2 linked regions of the Struthio camelus genome follow. The protein of the gene in region 1 interacts with the protein of each later gene in a pairwise test. Links are inferred from orthologs where the notes say so. Each region holds a gene or a part of one and is shown in the gene's direction. Other genes may lie near its edges.

What was found.
Region 2: the proteins of HOXA1 (region 1) and CCN3 interact in binary tests that used the Homo sapiens proteins (3 or more experiments, as listed by UniProt). The link is inferred for Struthio camelus from reciprocal best matches to the Homo sapiens genes HOXA1 and CCN3.

The regions. Positions count from the first base shown.
Region 1 is NC_090943.1:39,093,964-39,102,378, reverse strand, and holds HOXA1 (homeobox protein Hox-A1), read left to right. Parts: upstream 1-5,076; 5' UTR 5,077-5,351; coding exon 5,352-5,961; intron 5,962-6,423; coding exon 6,424-6,779; 3' UTR 6,780-7,838; downstream 7,839-8,415. Other genes in the region: HOXA2 (homeobox protein Hox-A2), read left to right, coding at 1-660. UniProt on the Homo sapiens protein: Sequence-specific transcription factor. Regulates multiple developmental processes including brainstem, inner and outer ear, abducens nerve and cardiovascular development and morphogenesis as well as cognition and behavior.
Region 2 is NC_090943.1:158,445,234-158,453,667, forward strand, and holds the start of CCN3 (CCN family member 3), read left to right. Parts: upstream 1-5,422; coding exon 5,423-5,485; intron 5,486-5,622; coding exon 5,623-5,851; intron 5,852-6,326; coding exon 6,327-6,578; intron 6,579-8,434. UniProt on the Homo sapiens protein: Immediate-early protein playing a role in various cellular processes including proliferation, adhesion, migration, differentiation and survival. Acts by binding to integrins or membrane receptors such as NOTCH1.

The DNA.
Region 1 (8,415 bases):
GAATTCCATTTCAACAAGTATCTCTGTAGACCAAGGAGGGTTGAGATCGCAGCTTTGCTGGATTTGACTGAGAGACAAGTCAAAGTCTGGTTCCAGAACAGAAGGATGAAGCACAAGAGACAGACCCAGTGCAAGGAGAACCAAAACAGTGAGGGGAAATTTAAGAGCCTAGAGGACCCGGAGAAAGCGGCAGAAGAAGAGGAGGAGGAGGAGAAATCCCTCTTTGAACAAGCCCTCAGCAACGTCTCCGGAGCTCTTTTGGAAAGGGAAGGTTACACTTTCCAGCAGAATGCACTGTCTCAGCAGCAGGCTCCCAATGTGCACAATGGAGAGTCCCAAAGTTTCCCCGTTTCGCCTTTAACGAGCAATGAGAAAAATCTGAAACATTTTCAACATCAGTCACCCACTGTTCAAAACTGCCTCTCAACAATGGCCCAGAACTGTGCAGCTGGCCTAAACAATGACAGTCCTGAGGCCCTAGATGTCCCTTCTTTACAGGACTTTAGCGTTTTCTCCACAGATTCCTGCCTGCAGCTTTCAGATGCAGTTTCCCCCAGTTTGCCAGGATCTCTGGACAGTCCCGTAGATATTTCTGCTGACAGTTTTGACTTTTTTACAGACACACTCACCACAATTGACTTGCAGCATCTGAATTACTGAGAATTAAAGACGTCCTCTCAAGGGTCCTGCCTTCTCCTCCTTATTCTTCTTTATTTTTCCAGTGAATTAATTTTATTCCCCCCCTCCCCTTTTTCTCGGTCAGTATTTTCTGTTTATTACCTCCCTTTGCTGTGTTCGAGAGCCATTTTACCGTTTCTTATGAAGTTTTAGTTGTGTTCAGTTTTAACCGAGCCACATTCTAGGTCCTTCTATGAAAGCAATATATGAGGTCTGTAAGAAAGTGATCATATAGGAATTGTATCTTCACTTTCTTTTTATTTTTGTATTACATTAGGATGCGTTGTCATAAGTATTTTTGGTAGAATAAATTCTTGTTTGCTACAAGAAGCTTTCTCTTTTTTCTTTCTCTTTCTCCCTTTCTCTTTCTCTTTCTCTCCTTTCAAGACTGATAACATAACGGATATTTCTCCCCCTGCCTTCTATTATTAATTTACTAATAATGAAAATTCAACATTCTGACTATAATCTCTCCCCTTTTGGAAAGTACATGTTTTAGAGAGGAAAAAACACTGTCAAACTCTTTATTGCAAGGGTTCTCACAAGAAAAAAACACAAACTAAAACAACTTAGATAGAGGCTTCTTCCTTTTAATATATAAACGTAGCATGTTATCTCCGTGCGGATACAAAGCTTGGATATTCTAAACTGTAACAAAAGCATAACGGTGCACTTTTTTTTTTGTTGCAGGCAAAACATAAGCTAGACTTAGTCGGAAAAGTGTTTCCTGCAGAAACTAGCCTGTTACATACACGAAGGGCTCTTTTCGGAAAAAAAATCCTATTTTTCTAGAATACAGTACTTAGCAGCCAGCAAGCTGTTTCAGGAAGCGTATCTTAAAATATAAAACCTCACAGAGAGTGCGTTTGATTCGTGTCCACGTGCTGAGCGGTCCAAGAAAACAGCCCTAAAAAGAGAGGAAAAAAAAAGTTATTGCCTGCAAAATCAAAAAGGTGCCATAAAAGCATTAAAAAAAAGCATTAGGGAGAATACACCCTCCACTTGCTTATTTTGAGGGAAAGTGCGGGGACCCAGCGCAAGGTATTTTCTCTTTAAACCCGATTGCGAGCGGAATGGCTGATAACGAAAAGGGGGAACTCTTACTTTCCGAGTAGAAATTTCCTCAGGGCTCCCCGCTCTCTGCTTGAGGCAGCAAAGATGGGCGTAAAAAACCTCCAGCAAATTGCCTGCGACTCGCTGAGCGGCATTGCCGGAGCCCGGAGCGGGGGGCGAGCCGTGTCCGGCGGGCTGAAGCCGAGCAACAGATGCGAGCCGGCGGCTCCCGGCTCCGGGGGCGAGCAGAGCCCGAGGGATCGTTGGTCCCTGGCTGTGTATGTCTCTGCGTGTGTGAGTGTGAGTGTGGGAGTGTGAGTGTGCGTGTGCACACGAGAACGCAGCCTGAGCGAGGGTTTGGGGAAAGCACTTCGCTGCCCGTCCGTGCGAGGAGTGCTGTCTCCCAGCCCTGCAACACGTTGTGGAGCTGAGCTGCGTGGGTTATAGCTGGAAGGGCTGAACGCAATTCTTCCGAAAGTCATAAATCAAACTCTTTCTATGAATGAGAATGTCATCAAAGAGATCAATTGCAGGAACACATGCACAAATAAAAATCCTCTTACGTATTTGCCGGGGCTGGGGATCCCCGTCTAAAACCATTAAGTGAGAAGGCGTTTAGTCATAATTCATTTTTATTGCTCTTTTAAAACAACAGCTTGGCTGAGCTGCGGACGCGGCAAAACCTCGGCCCTGCTTCTTGTCCTTCTCTCTGCTCCAGCCCCGGCTCTGCGGAAAGCGAGTAGCCTCACCGGTATTTTAACTCCTGTGGCACTGGGTTAAACTGGATTGCAATGTGCGGGTATGGGCTGGGATTTCTTTTGTGCCTAGATATCTGAATACTGCTAACGCTTAAAAAACAAAACAAAACAAAACAAAAGAAACAAAGAAAAATATGCTACCAGATTTAAACTTTTCCCACACTCGGTTTAAACAAATCGGGCGATTCAGCAGACAGGAGCCGCCTAAGTCTCTCTCGATAAGCCCTAGGGCCATAGCGGGGGTACTGGGGGGTGGGAGGGCATGCGAGATCTCCCACGAAAAAGCCTTAAGCACCGGAATTGCCCCCTTCTCTCCCAGCTCTGGGCAGGAAATGGCACTTTCTGCACCCCGGCCCGGAGCGAGCCACAAAGGGGGCTCGGAGGGGAGAGGGGCCCGCCGGGCGCCTCTGGGAGCGGAGAGGGGGCAGCTCCACTCGGCGGGTGGTGGAGGGGCATTTTTCCCTCTGCTCTGGCCCTCCTTATTATGTTGCCCCCATGCACAGTATTGGCAGCAAAAATCCGAGGCACTGTGAGAGAGACAATGTAACAAAAGAGAGGGATCTCTGCTGAACAATGGCACGAATATACGAGAAAACAAACAAACAAACAAAAAAAGATTCCGGGATGCAGGAGGCTGTAAGAGAGGTGTTGTAATTTGGCAGGATTTACGGGTAAACCCGATCTATTTATAGCAAAATATGCCTTTTTCTTGGCCAGCTGTTGTAAAAAAGCCCTGAAAAGACGCCAGCTCTTTTATTAGTAAACAGTCCCAGCGGCCTGCCTTTTCCTTTGCCTTATGCAGTATTTATCACAACTGCTTTACAAGAATGAAATAAATGTGTTTACATCCGTTACCATAGCCAAAAATGGTGCCGTATAATTCCATAAATGCCTCTGGAGTTTTGTTGTTACTCCTCCCCGCCACGTCCCCACCGGAGTTTAAGAAACCGAACCTTTCCAGAGGGCTCTTACTCATTCGTGCCTGCGCAGTAAATGAAAGCAAACAGAAATACTAAGGGCATATGGTTAAGCATGGGCAGTCCCTCAGTTTTTGCTGGCCGCAGAGAGGCCTTGCAGATGGAGTGGGATAAGGGCTGACCTGACAGCAGTAGGAGAGCCTTGCACCCAGGAGAGGATGTTGTAGTTCAGATGGGAGGAGCTTGTGGGTTTGCGTGTGTGTGTGTGTGTGTGTGTCTGTGTGTGTGTGTGTGTGTGTGTGTGTGTGTGTGTGTTAAGTGTTTGTGAGCAGGGAGAGGTGGCAGGGTAGAGAAGCTTTTTGGGCTTCAGAAGAAAACAACAAAGCCTGAGAACCTAGCGATGTACGATCGGGCTGGAAATGCACCTGCAGGAATACAGAAGGCAGCTGCTCACGGAGCTGCTGCTGCTAGTGGGAGTATTAGTTCTTACCCATCTCTCCCCTAGGTTAACCTTTCGCAGGACGCCTCTCTGAAGTGTGCTGAAATCGGTTTGTTGGTGCCGTCCCCTCTCCCTACAGATGGATAGGTGCCCTGGGACGGGTGGATGCCCGATCTATACCTCCCCTTGCCTTTTTTGCATACGCAAAGCGAGTATGAGGTCGCAATTCAAATCCCAGCCGCCATCCCTCCTTTTCTACCCATGGACCCTTTTTGGGGGAGGGGGGGAAGGGGGAGTTGGAGTCGATGCTCAGTGCGGTTCCCAAGGGTCCTGGGGCCACCTCTGCCATTGGCCATCTGCCACCTCCCGCCACTGCCAGCCCGGGTGGCGGAGCCGGGACAAAGGGGACGGGGCGGCGGGCTTTGCATCTCCCCGCCGCTCCGCAGCCCCGGCCCCGGGCTGGCGGGCCGCGACCTGCGCCCCCCGGGCAGCTTTCCGCCCCCGCCCGGGCCTAGGGGAGTGCGGGGCGGCAGCAGTGCTGGCAGACGGGTCCCCGGCCCCGTCACCTTGGCGGGCATCTCCCATCTCCCTGCCACCAGCTCCCCCTCCCCTACCACAGCCCCAGGCTGGCGCGGGCGAGCCCGGCGGAGGTGTGGGGGGAGCGGGGAGCCGGGCCGGGGGGAGGCCGGGGGGCCCGGCCGAGCACAATGGCCGTCAGTCCCAAAAGCGCCTCATTTCCATGCTAATGTCCGCGGCCGCCTGGTGATGCGGCTGGACAAGCCCCTTTAACTCTTGGCGGCGCGTCGCGCTGGGCTCTGCGGCGGGGCAGCAGCAGCAGCGGGAGTGCCCGTCCCCAGCCCCGTGCCCGTGCCCATCCGCGGCCCCGTGCCCGTGCCCGTCCCCAGGCCTGATGCTCTCAGAGCCTGTCCCGGCCTCCCCCCGTGCCGTGGGTCCGGCTGCCGCCCCGCCGCGGCTCATGCCCGGGAGAGAGAGGCGGCGGCGGCGGCGGCGGGGGGAGGAAGTGGGTCGAGGGTGCCGATCGCCAGCCTGACAGCGCCGGCAGCAGGGGAGGCGCTGGGGCAACCCTCGGCGGGGACGCTGCGGCATCACTCACCCTGGAGGGGACGGCCGGTGGGCTCCGGGGCACGGGCGCAGCCGCCAGGCTCTCTGCTGCCTTCCCCTCTCGACGGGCGGGCGGGCGGGCGGGCGGGCGAGCGGGCCCCCCCCCCGGGGCGGCCACCGTGCCCCGCGGCGCCGCGCCGCGCCGTGCCGCGCCGTCGGAGCGCTCGGCGTTTAAATGCCCCCGACGCGGCGATCTATCAGCGGCAGGAGCCGGGAAAGTCCCGCAGGCGCCGCAGCCATTGGCTGCCGCCCCCCACGTGCCTCCCCGCTCGCTGTACCTTCGTGTCATTTTCCTCCCGGCCCCATGGAGGAAGTGGGAAAGTTGGCGCGGCCCCGCCGGACGCTGAAGACCCGGTGGCGGCGTGACAGAGGGACACGGCGAGGATGAGCTCCTTCCTCGAGTACCCCGTCCTCGGCGGCGAGGCCGGGGGCTGCGCCGCCCGCGCCTACCACCCCGACCACGGGATTACAACTTTCCAGCCCTGCGCCGTCAGCGCCGGCAGCTGCAGCGGGGAGGACCGCTTCCTCGTGGGCCGCGGGGTGCAGATCAGCCCCCACCGCCACCACCACCCCCCGGCCCAGCCCGCCGCCTACCAGCCCCACGGCGGCCTGGGGGTCTCCTACTCGCACGCCGGCTGCGGCCCGACGTACGGCGCGCAGGGCTTCGGCGCGGCGTACAGCCCCTACCCCCTCGGGCAAGACGCGGAGCTCGGCGCCGGCTTCCCCCCCTGCGCGCCCGCGGTGTACTCGGGCAGCCTCTCCTCCGCCGCCGCCGCGCAGCACCCGCACCAGGGCTACGCGGGGGGCCCCGCTCAGTACGTGCACCCCCCCTACGGACAGGAGCAGCAGAGCCTGCCGCTGGGCACCTATAACCATGCCCTGTCTCCTCTCCACGCCAGCCACCAGGAAAACGCCCGCTCCCCGTCCGCGGAGACCTCGCCGCCCGCGCAGACCTTTGACTGGATGAAAGTCAAGAGAAACCCACCCAAAACAGGTTAGTCCCCGGCTGCAGGACGGGAGGGCCTGAGGAGGGGGGGGGGGGCGAGCTCCTTTCTCTCTCTTCCGTCGGTAAAGCCAAGGCGAGGCAAAGCACAGCCCCCGCGGCCGGCGGCGCACAGGTGTCCCGTCCGTTTGCTTTGCAGGTAAAGCGCCCGAGACCCCCGAGAGCAGCCGCCGCCGTCTGCCCGCTACGCTCAAAGTCAGCGCTGCCTGTGCCTACCCCCCCCCCCCCCCCCGCGGTCATATTTCTTGTAATTCATAAACCACTTATCAAGTTTCCTCTGACACTAGAGGCTGAGTCCAGTTTAGCACCTCGCACTCCATCACTCACCCTGCCGGGGCTTCCCTCTTATCCTAAGAAGTTCTTGCTCCCTATCGCTTAGCCGGTGTGGACACATTGATTACGTCGCCTATAAATCACTTGCGCTTACTTAATGCTGGATGTCCCCTTTTGCAGGAAAGGCTGGCGAGTACGGCTTCGTGGGGCAGCCCAACACGGTCAGAACTAATTTCACCACCAAGCAGCTCACAGAACTGGAGAAAGAGTTTCATTTCAACAAGTACCTGACCAGGGCCAGGAGGGTGGAGATTGCAGCCTCCCTGCAACTCAACGAGACGCAGGTCAAGATCTGGTTCCAGAACCGCAGGATGAAGCAGAAGAAAAGAGAGAAAGAGGGGCTGCTACCCATCTCTCCCGCCACCCCCACGGGCTGTGAGGAGAAAGCGGAGGAGTTATCAGAGAAGTCCTGCTCGTCGCCCTGCACTGCCTCGCCATCCTCCTCTACCTCAGACACTCTTGCTACCTCAAACTGAGACGCACCTGGGTGCTCCCTGGCTTGGACTCGCGACTCCCAAGCCGCCTCCCTACCGTAGCTCGAACCGATTTAACGCTGTTGTGTGTGTGTGTTGGCTGGTTGGTCTCCTTCAGAGCCCCGGTGCCCCAAACGCCCGCCCCGTCGCGGGCAGCCGCCCGCTCCGCGCCCCCCCGGCCCCCGGGCCTCGGGGCCAAGAGGACATTTTCTCTCTGTTCCCCTTTGGCTGGAGGAGATGTGTTGGCACATGTGTAAGGGTCTCTCTCCTCCGTTGCAAAGACCTTTCTTCAAGTTCCCCCTGAGTGAAAGACAGGCTATCTAGGGTACATAACCTCACGAAGAGATGCACTATTGGAAGTGTTTACACGACTTACAGGACTTTCATCCTTTAATTTAATGTATTCTTTGTTCGCGTCTATGAGTTTGTTGCTTGTAAATACTTTGTCCGAGAGATTTATCTTTTTACAGATTTTTCTAGAAATGACGTTTAGATTATCAGGTTAAGCAGGGTGGGTGCATTCGCAAAACTGGATCCAATTTTATATTGTTAAAGCAGACGACCGTATCAAGTTAAACGTGTTAAGCTCAAGCAGATACCTCAAAGAGTAGCGCTATTTGTTTAAGTGTGACAAACAAGGCTTCAATTGCACTAGGTTTTGAAAACCTTACCCGGTGTGCTTTCCCTCCCCCCTCCCCCGACAGAAGTCTGTGCTGGATTATATTGAACCGAAGGGTATAACTGTCCAAAAGACCTCACCTCTTCCTGTTTTCATATTAACCCTCCTTTAGACTCGACGTCTTTTCAATCTAATCGTAAATGTGACGACTGGCCAAATGAATGTATATTTTATGTGATTCGTGTCTGGAAGTTTGCATGATGCACAGTGCTTTGCTGTACTCCGGGTACACTGAGTTCTATCAGTTGTCGTGTGTGAGCGAACTATCTTCCTCGTCTCCTGTACAATCATCAAAGGCTCTGCGATTCTGGGACTGAGGGAATCCAGGGCACAATCTACGGGTCCTTATAATGTCTGTAATAAATATATTCAACTTTCAGGTATCCCTTGTGTGCGTACCTCTGCGTGACGTCACTGATGAGTCACCGGCTCAGCTCAGCAGTTTACTCTCCATTATTTTCTTCTGATGGGGCCTTTCTCAGGGAGAAAGGGAGAAAGAACATCCCAACATTACTCCTGACGTGTTTTTTTTTTTTTTTTTTTTTTTTTTGGCCGGGGTCAGAGCTCGGGCTGTCCAGTCTGATTCATAACACAAACTTTCTTCCTTTTCTACACTCGAATAATATTATTTTTAGAAAATATAAGCCCTCCTCTCCGTCCACTGTAGCAAGGCGGAATTTATGATCCAGATCTATTTTTGAAGCACACACACGAGAACTTCCTGGGTCAAGTGCTAACCTTTTCACCTCGAGATGGATGTTGACACTTCTATAAACAGAGCACAATTCAAAAGCAGAAACTGTCTTCAGCCAGTCTCTCCTCACATCGCAGGCCCCTCGCTAAGGGCTGCACGTTTAATTAGCCCGGGCACTAAGCTGGTCCTGCTTCCCTTTCCTTCCCTCCCAAGCTGCCACCTCCAGGACCTGATCGGCTGGAAAGGTGGGAGGTGGCTCCCAGCTG
Region 2 (8,434 bases), about 120 Mb from region 1:
GCACGTTATAGTCAGGGGCATTTGATTTGAATGGCTTGTGCTAGCTGAGAATGATCACCAGGCTGACCCTAAATATTAGTTTAGGTATCCACTCATTCAGGTGACCACCACCATGCACACCTCATAGACCTCCTCCCAGCATCTCTCCTAGCTCAGACAGATGGGGCTGCTTCAGTTACAGTCACTTCGCTTGTGGCAGGAGAACCTCGTGTGCTGCTAACAGACGCTGGGGGAAGAATCGATGCAGTTTGTTACTAAGCGTGCTGCCTTGCTATTAATGTCACATGTCATGTATATGGAAAGCGCCCATTATATATCAATATAATTGATATTAAAAAATTACTGCAGTGTTTATATAATTTTTGTTTGTTCCCTGTTTAGGGCATGTGCAGTATCAACACCCTCAGTAGGTGATAGGAATCTGCAGCTGTCATCTAGACTAAGAAGGGCTAGCCAGAAATCCCAGATTACTGGATTACTTCAAGATTACTGGATTACAGATTACTGGATTACTTCAAGAAAAATACTGTGTGCTTGTGAGGTAGAAGAGTACAAGAAGGGGCATCAATTTACAGCATAATGCCGCGCAGTGCATCCACATTACACTTGTATTGGTAAAAAATGGTAGGACAGAAGAGGACAGATAGAGAAAGATAAAGAAGTGGTATTTATGACAATTTTACTCACTAAAAATGACATCATTTGCCGTACATGGAAAATGGAAGAGATCTCTGTGGGCCTGTTTGTTGTGAGGCAGTGGGCTTGGACATCTCCTGAGCCAGGCAGCTGGCTTTAAACAGTGAGATGTTGCTGTGAATCCTTGAAGGTTTCTAATGCTGGATATATGTCTAAACACCTCTGGATGTGAAGAGGATCAGCACCTAGAAACTCTCTAAGAATTAAGCCAGTTTTACTTGCAGCCTCTGATCCCAGCCTTTTAGACAGAGCTTCCTCAGAAGTTGCAGTGGTGAAACATGCATAAACCATCTGGTCTTGTGCAAGGCGATGAGTAAAAGTAACACTTTCAGGGCTATTAGCTCAATGGAGGTTAGGATCTGAATGAAAGAACATGTTCAGGCACCCCTGCCACAGATTTAGCCCAAGGCAGGTTTATGGCAATCCAGAGGGAGAAGTCTTTGCCTGGAAGGCTGTTACAGGGCAATGCAGAGGCTCGTGGCAGCTGTTGCCGAGTTTGGGATATGTCCTCTGCCCTGAGCACAAACCTGCATCTCTCTCAGACAGAAAAGACAGCTGAAAAGCACTTTGCGCCTTGACAATGCTTAAGTGACACATGAGACACATTACCTGGCTTCCTTAAAGCATTCACAGCAATTAGAAGTTGAATTTTAAAGCTAAGATTACAGAACACTTCAGCATTTGTTCTCCATGGGCCTCAGTTAGCCTTTTACATACCTATACAGGTTATGACCCAAACGTTTAGGTATTATAGATTACTGACTTGGTTTCTTCTCACTGGGCACCATGCAAGACTTTCCTTGTATTGAATTTAAGTACACTGGTAAATGTTCTTTTCGTTTATTTGATTCTATCTCCAGTTTTATGTGGTGAAGCCTTTTTAATAGATAAGAAGATATTTAAGGGTGTTGTGAAATAACCTCATTTGAAAAGGAGGTAACTTTCAGTGGCTGTGAATGACTGTTGGCCTTGAAAACCTCATCAGATTCCCATGCAGAGGGACAGACAAAAATGGACCTTTGTCCTCTGGCTTAGAGCCCTGCTTCTGGGAAAACTACAGGAACAGCCTTGTTTCTTTTTAGCAAATTTTAGTGCTTGGCCAACAGCACTGGTCATCCTGCTCACAAGCAAGGAGTGCTACTGTAAAAAATGGGTTTGCACTACCTAAATCAGAGTTATGAGGCAAAGAAGCAAAGGAAAAAGAAAAATAAAAAGAAAAAGAAAAGAAAAAAAGAAAAATAGAAAAAGAAAAAAAAAGAAAAAGAAAGAAAAAGAAAAATAAAAGAAAAATAAAGGAAGGTGAAATCCAGTGGATGACTGAAATAACCTCAAACCTACACCCAAGTAGTTAATAAGGTTTGAACAATCCTATTTTTCCTTGCCTGGTCCTGTTGCTTATGAGTGAGAAAATGAAGGGTTAATGTATGACTGCAGGTTACTAACCCTGTGCTGGTGAAGGCTACTTCCCTTCAGATGACAGATCTCTTTAGAAAACCAGCTGTTGCTACATAACTTCAAGAAAGGAATGGTGACTTTTGTCCAAAGCAAAACCTGTATATGACGATTCCTGTTTTTGTGCTGAGCACTGCTTTGGCTTAGAGCTACAGCAGCCTTGTAAATTCATGAGTACCACTTGTGTCATGTCTTAAGCTTAAAAGGCGTCCTGTTTTCACTAGTCTGTCTTCAACTTTTGTTTATTTTTCAAATACTTTCTCTTTAACAAGCCACAACAGAATCCAGCGCACATTATCTGCTGCAGTCAACTGGGGATATGGAATATCTGTATCCTAGAAAGACCCAAGAAAGCCTTGGGCAGAAAACAATTCCTGACAAGTAAAACACGTTAATAGATTTAGTCTCCCTTATGCTTGGCCTGGATCAGTCCCGCGTACTCTAAAATAACTTCACGGCACAGAGCACAGCAGTTATGTCTCCAAAACATTCCTAAGGCTTGACTTGTTGGGATCTGCGTATTTCATGGTCACACACACACAAATAAGCACCGATGAGTCTGGTATCTCTTCAGCTCATCCCAGGAGGTTCGTGCTGCAGAGTGCGAAGGGCTCCCCGTGCAATTTCTGCTTCCGACATGCCGATACACCGGGACCTCTCTGCTGATGATCAGCACCTACAAGTTGGCAAGCAAAGAGTTTATGAAGCGAGTATGTCACCCCTACAATGCCTTATGTTATCATCAGGGTCCTTTCATGCCCCCTGTAACACTGAAAGGTTGTTCAAAAAGTTCAAGAAGGGTTGAAACACAAGGGTCGAAAGCTGCCCAGGCTCCTGAGAGGTACTTACATTTGGGGTGACCAGTCTCCACAGACTGGACCAGGACGTAGTCTAATCCCTCGCCAGGCAGCTACAACAGAGAGGTGGCGTTGGCTTCAGCAGGATGTATAAATCGTGGTGTAAGGTCTAGCGCTTGCATAGGAGCTGGCATGCAGGCAAACCCTGAGTCGCTTACCGCAGACCAAGCGAGCAGTGACCAGCCACATGGGGTGGCAGTGGAGGGCTGCGGGAAGGCACTCGCCTCAGGGCTCAGGCACCACCACGCGCCCCGGGGGAAGGGCCACCAGCACGGTGGCACCCCAGGCCTTCCCACTGCTCAGGGACCCGCTTTCCCCTGGGGTGCCCACTCCCGTGAAGGGGCCGGGGAGCGGGACACTGTGAGGCGGACCACAAGCTGCCCCTGGTGGGGACCACAGGCTGCCCTGGGGAGGGGATCGCAGGGTGCCCCAAGGGAGGATCGCAGGCTGCCCGAAGAAAGGATCACGAGCTGCCCCGAGGGGGGATCGCGGGCTGCCCCGAGGGGAGGGGGGGCCCGGGGGGGATCGCGAGCTGCCCCGAGGGGGGATCGCGGGCTGCCCCGTGGGGGGATCGCGGGCTGCCCCGAGGGGGGATCGTGGGCTACCCCGAGGGGGAGGGGGGGCCCGGGGGGGATCGCGGGCTGCCCCGAGGGGGGATTGCGAGCTGCCCCAAGGGGGGATCGCGGGCTGCCCCGAGGGGGGATCGCGGGCTGCCCCGAGGGGAGGGGGGGCCCGGGGGGGATCGCGGGCTGCCCCAAGGGGGGATTGCGAGCTGCCCCGAGGGGGGATCGCGGGCTGCCCCGAGGGGAGGGGGGGCCCGGGGGGGATCGCGGGCTGCCCCGAGGGGGGATCGCGGGCTGCCCCGAGGGGAGGGGGGGCCCGGGGGGGATCGCGGGCTGCCCCGAGGGGGGATCGCGGGCTGCCCGAAGAGAGGATCACGAGCTGCCCCGAGGGGGGATCGCGGGCTGCCCCGAGGGGGGATTGCGAGCTGCCCCGAGAGGGGATCGCAGGCTGCCCCGAGAGGGGATCGCGAGCTGCCCCGAGGGGGGATTGCGGGCTGCCCCGAGGGGGAGGGGGGGCCAGGGGTGGATCGCGGGCTGCCCCGAGGGGGAGGGGGGGCCAGGGGTGGATCGCGGGCTGCCCCGAGGGGGGATTGCGAGCTGTCCCGAGAGGGGATCGCAGGCTGCCCCGAGGGGGGATCGCGAGCTGCTCCGAGGGGGGATCGCGGGCTGCCCCGAGGGGGGATCGCGAGCTGCCCCGAGGGGGGATCGCGGGCTGCCCCGAGGGGGGATCGCGAGCTGCTCCGAGGGGGGATCGCGGGCTGCCCCGAGGGGGGATCGCGAGCTGCCCCGAGGGGGAGGAGGGGCCCGGGGGGATCGCGGGCTGCCCCGAGGGGGGATCACGGGCTGCCCCGAGGGGAGGGGGGGCCCGGGGGGGATCGCGAGCTGCCCCGAGGGGGGATCGCGGGCTGCCCCGAGGGGGGATCGCGGGCTGCCCCGTGGGGGGATCGCGGGCTGCCCCGAGGGGGGATCGTGGGCTACCCCGAGGGGGAGGGGGGGCCCGGGGGGGATCGCGGGCTGCCCCGAGGGGGGATTGCGAGCTGCCCCGAGGGGGGATCGCGGGCTGCCCCGAGGGGAGGGGGGGCCCGGGGGGGATCGCGGGCTGCCCCGAGGGGGGATTGCGAGCTGCCCCGAGGGGGGATCGCGGGCTGCCCCGAGGGGGGATCGCGAGCTGCCCCGAGGGGGGATCACGGGCTGCCCCGAGGGGGGATCGCGGGCTGCCCCAAGAGGGAGGGGGGGCCAGGGGTGGATCGCGGGCTGCCCCGAGGGGGGATCGCGGGCTGCCCCGAGGGGGAGGGGGGGCCCGGGGGGGGATCGCGGGCTGCCCCGAGGGGGGATCGCGGGCTGCCCCAAGAGGGAGGGGGGGCCAGGGGTGGATCGCGGGCTGCCCCGAGGGGGGATCGCGGGGCTGCCCCGAGAGGGAGGGGGGGCACGGGGGGGGGGATCGCGGGCTGCCCCGAGGGGGAGGGGGGGCCCGGGGGAGATCGCGGGCTGCCCCGTGGGGGGATCGCGGGGCTGCCCCGAGGGGGAGGGGGGGCCCGGGGGGGGATCGCGGGCTGCCCCGAGGGGGGATCGCGGGGCTGCCCCGAGAGGGAGGGGGGGCACGGGGGGGGGATCGCGGGCTGCCCCGAGGGGGAGGGGCGGCCCGGGGGGGGCTGTCGCTTCGCGGGGCAGGTGGCGGGGGCGGGGGCGCGGGCCTGGCTCCAGCTCCAGCTCCAGCTCCAGCTCCAGCTCCAGCTCCAGCTCCAGCTCCCCGCCCCCGGGCCGCGCCGCCGTCCCCGACGGGCTCTATATAAGCGGCCGCAATGGCCCTGGCGGCAGAGGCGAGCGGCGCCGCGGGGAGGCCGGGTCGGGACCATGCCGAGGGGCGGCGGGCAGCGCCTGCTGCCGCCGCTGCTGCTCCTGCCGCTGCTGTGCCAGGCAAGTGCGGGCGGCCCGGGCCGGGGGCCGGGGGGGGGGGGGGGGGCGGCTGCCGGGCCCCGCGGCCGCGCCGTGCGGGCAGCCGGCGGCCGCGCCGGTGCCGTGACCGGGCCCTCGGGGCCGCTTTGTCCCCGCAGGTGAGCGGCCGGGAGGCGGCCTGCCCCCGGCCGTGCGGCGGGCCGTGCCCGGCGGCGCCGCCGCGCTGCCCCCCGGGGGTGCCCGCCGTCCTGGACGGCTGCTCCTGCTGCCTGGTGTGCGCCCGGCAGCGCGGCGAGAGCTGCTCCCCGCTGCTGCCCTGCGACGAGAGCAGCGGCCTCTACTGCGACCGCGGCCCCGACGACGGCGGCGCCACCGGCATCTGCATGGGTAGGTGGCGGCGGCGGCGGCCCCACTCGCGGCCCTTCCCCCGGAGCGGGGAGAGGCCCCGCCGCCTCTCGAGGGCCCTTTGAGCCCACGGGGCGAAATGTCCCACCTTTGCCCCGCGCCCTGCGGCCGCCCTGCCCCTGCCTGAGCCCGCAGGAGGCGAGCCCGCCTCAGCACTGCCCTTAGCTCCGCGCACCCAGGGGCTTTACGGGGTGCCCCGGGGTGCCGAAAGGTGGCCCCGCTCTCCGCTTAGGAGGAGCGCGGGCGCGCGGCGCGCCCAGACAGCAGGGCCAAGCTCTCCCCGTGAAGCGCCTAAGGATGCTACGGCGCCTTCGCTTGGGCTCCTGCGGGCGTGTGGCGGCGGGCAGCGTGAGCGCCGGCCCCTTGGCCTGCTGATAAAACACACCTCGGGGTTGTGAGAGGGACGGAGAGGGCCCTGACCGTCCCCCCAGTGACAGCCGTCCGCCTTTCTCACCAGTGCTGGAAGGAGACAACTGTGTGTTCGACGGGATGATTTACCGGAACGGGGAGACGTTCCAGCCCAGCTGCAAGTACCAATGCACCTGCCGCGACGGGCAGATCGGCTGCCTGCCCCGCTGCAACCTGGACCTGCTGCTCCCCGGCCCCGACTGCCCTTTCCCGAGAAAAATCGAAGTCCCCGGAGAGTGCTGCGAGAAGTGGGTCTGCGACCCCGAAGACAAAGTGATTTTGGGAGGTTTTGCTATGGCTGGTGAGGAAACTATAATTAACACAGTCATCGTGAGGGGAGGGTGATAGCGTGCTGGGAATGTCCATGGGCTTACCATATCCTGCTTTATGCTGTGGACTTTTTCTGACCCTTTTTTTGTTTTTTCTTTTTCTCATCTAGAGCAACTAATGAGTAGACCAGTGGTTCTGAGTAAAAGCAGAATTTTTTTAACTGAAGAAAAGATATTCAGAGAATAAATGTTTTAAAAAATAATTAACTTGAGTTAGGACCCAGTTCTGGAAATGCTGTTTATCTGATATAGAGTAGTTCCGTGAGTAGAATAAAGTGGGGACAAGCTCATAATCCTCCAAACATTATCTTCCTCCAAAAATCAAAGCTTCAGTCTTGCTAGCTGCTCTGCAAGAATATGTTACGTCTTAAATACCATTCAACACAGCCTGGTTTACAAGAGATTTTTTTTTTTCCCCTAAATTCCCCAGCTATTACTAGTGGTCAGCATGCTAGCGAAAATGCCAACAAATTCCTGTCTGTCTGTGCTAGAGCTCTCATCATTATTGCTGGCATTAAAAGCATTACAAAGTACTTGGAGAAGCAATGCTTGTAGGCACAGTTAGTGGATCTGAAAAAAAACATCCTATTCCAAAAAACAGAACTCATAAGTGCTTTTGCACTTTTCCTCAATCTCTTCTTATTGAATTATGTCTCCCTCCCCTTTAAATTAAACTATCCGGTTAACAGGAATTTCCAAAAGCTGCTTTTACTGGGAGTCAAGGGCACTGCATTCTCTCCCAGTCACTGCTCTGTGCGGTCTTAAGCAGTTAGCTATGCTGCAGCACAGCTAATCCATTTCAAAAAAACAAGCAAGAAGGATCCAGGACGATAAGCTCTAATAACTTTGCAGAATGCTGTGAAATGTCAGATGGGAGGCACGTAAGGCATAACTTAACATGTTGTCACTTTATAGCATCTTTCCTCTTCTTTTGTTTTTTGACAGTGACAGGCCAATCCATAACATGCCTGTAGGTGGATTACCTACATTATTTTTGGCCATGGTCATCCCTCTTGGATGTCCGCCTTTTTGGAGCTTTACCTTGCAAGAAGGCAAGAATGCGGCTGGGGAGAAGCTTATCAGCAAGAGTCGTAAGGGTGACACAACTCGCTGCACTTGGCTGGCTCCGTCATGTTGGCTCACTCTATTTACTCCTATAATAACTGCTGTACCAAACTGTAAAGTTGGCAATATTTCCATAATACAACTTAAACACTACCGGGAGGGCAGAACAATGACCAGAATAAATGATTGCTTTGAGTAGCTGTGATAACTCATGAAATTACTTTACTTCCCTCTTCCCTCATACCACCCTGACTATAATCTGTCAATAATTGATAAGGTGGGGTGACTATGACTGTAGGAACAAAACACTTTATCTGTTAGTTTATATAAATCATGCAGCCACTCTCAAATCATATCTAATGTCAATATTTTTGTGACTTAGAATAGATTGGTGATGCATTTTTGTTAAAAAGAATAAGGAATAATGAGTTATTAAAGTGGATTTCTAAACTTGATTAACAAATTGAGAGTAGTTCTTCCCATTTCGGACTTGACTGGACAGAAACTGTCTTCTCTCTCTAATTCAGGTTGTGGCAGAAAGGCAGAAATTTATTCTGCTTATTACACTGACATGCACCTATTTGTTGATCTTTAGATGTAGAAAGTTGCTGTCCAAGGCTCCTAAAAAGGCAACTTTTCAAATGACTGAGACCTGTCAAAATCATAGATTTTCGACTTTTTTTTTCTTTCTCATCATCTCATTTGTTTCCTCCCAAATGTAGAAGAGCTCAAATATGTACTGGATTCTCACGTTAAGTCTTTC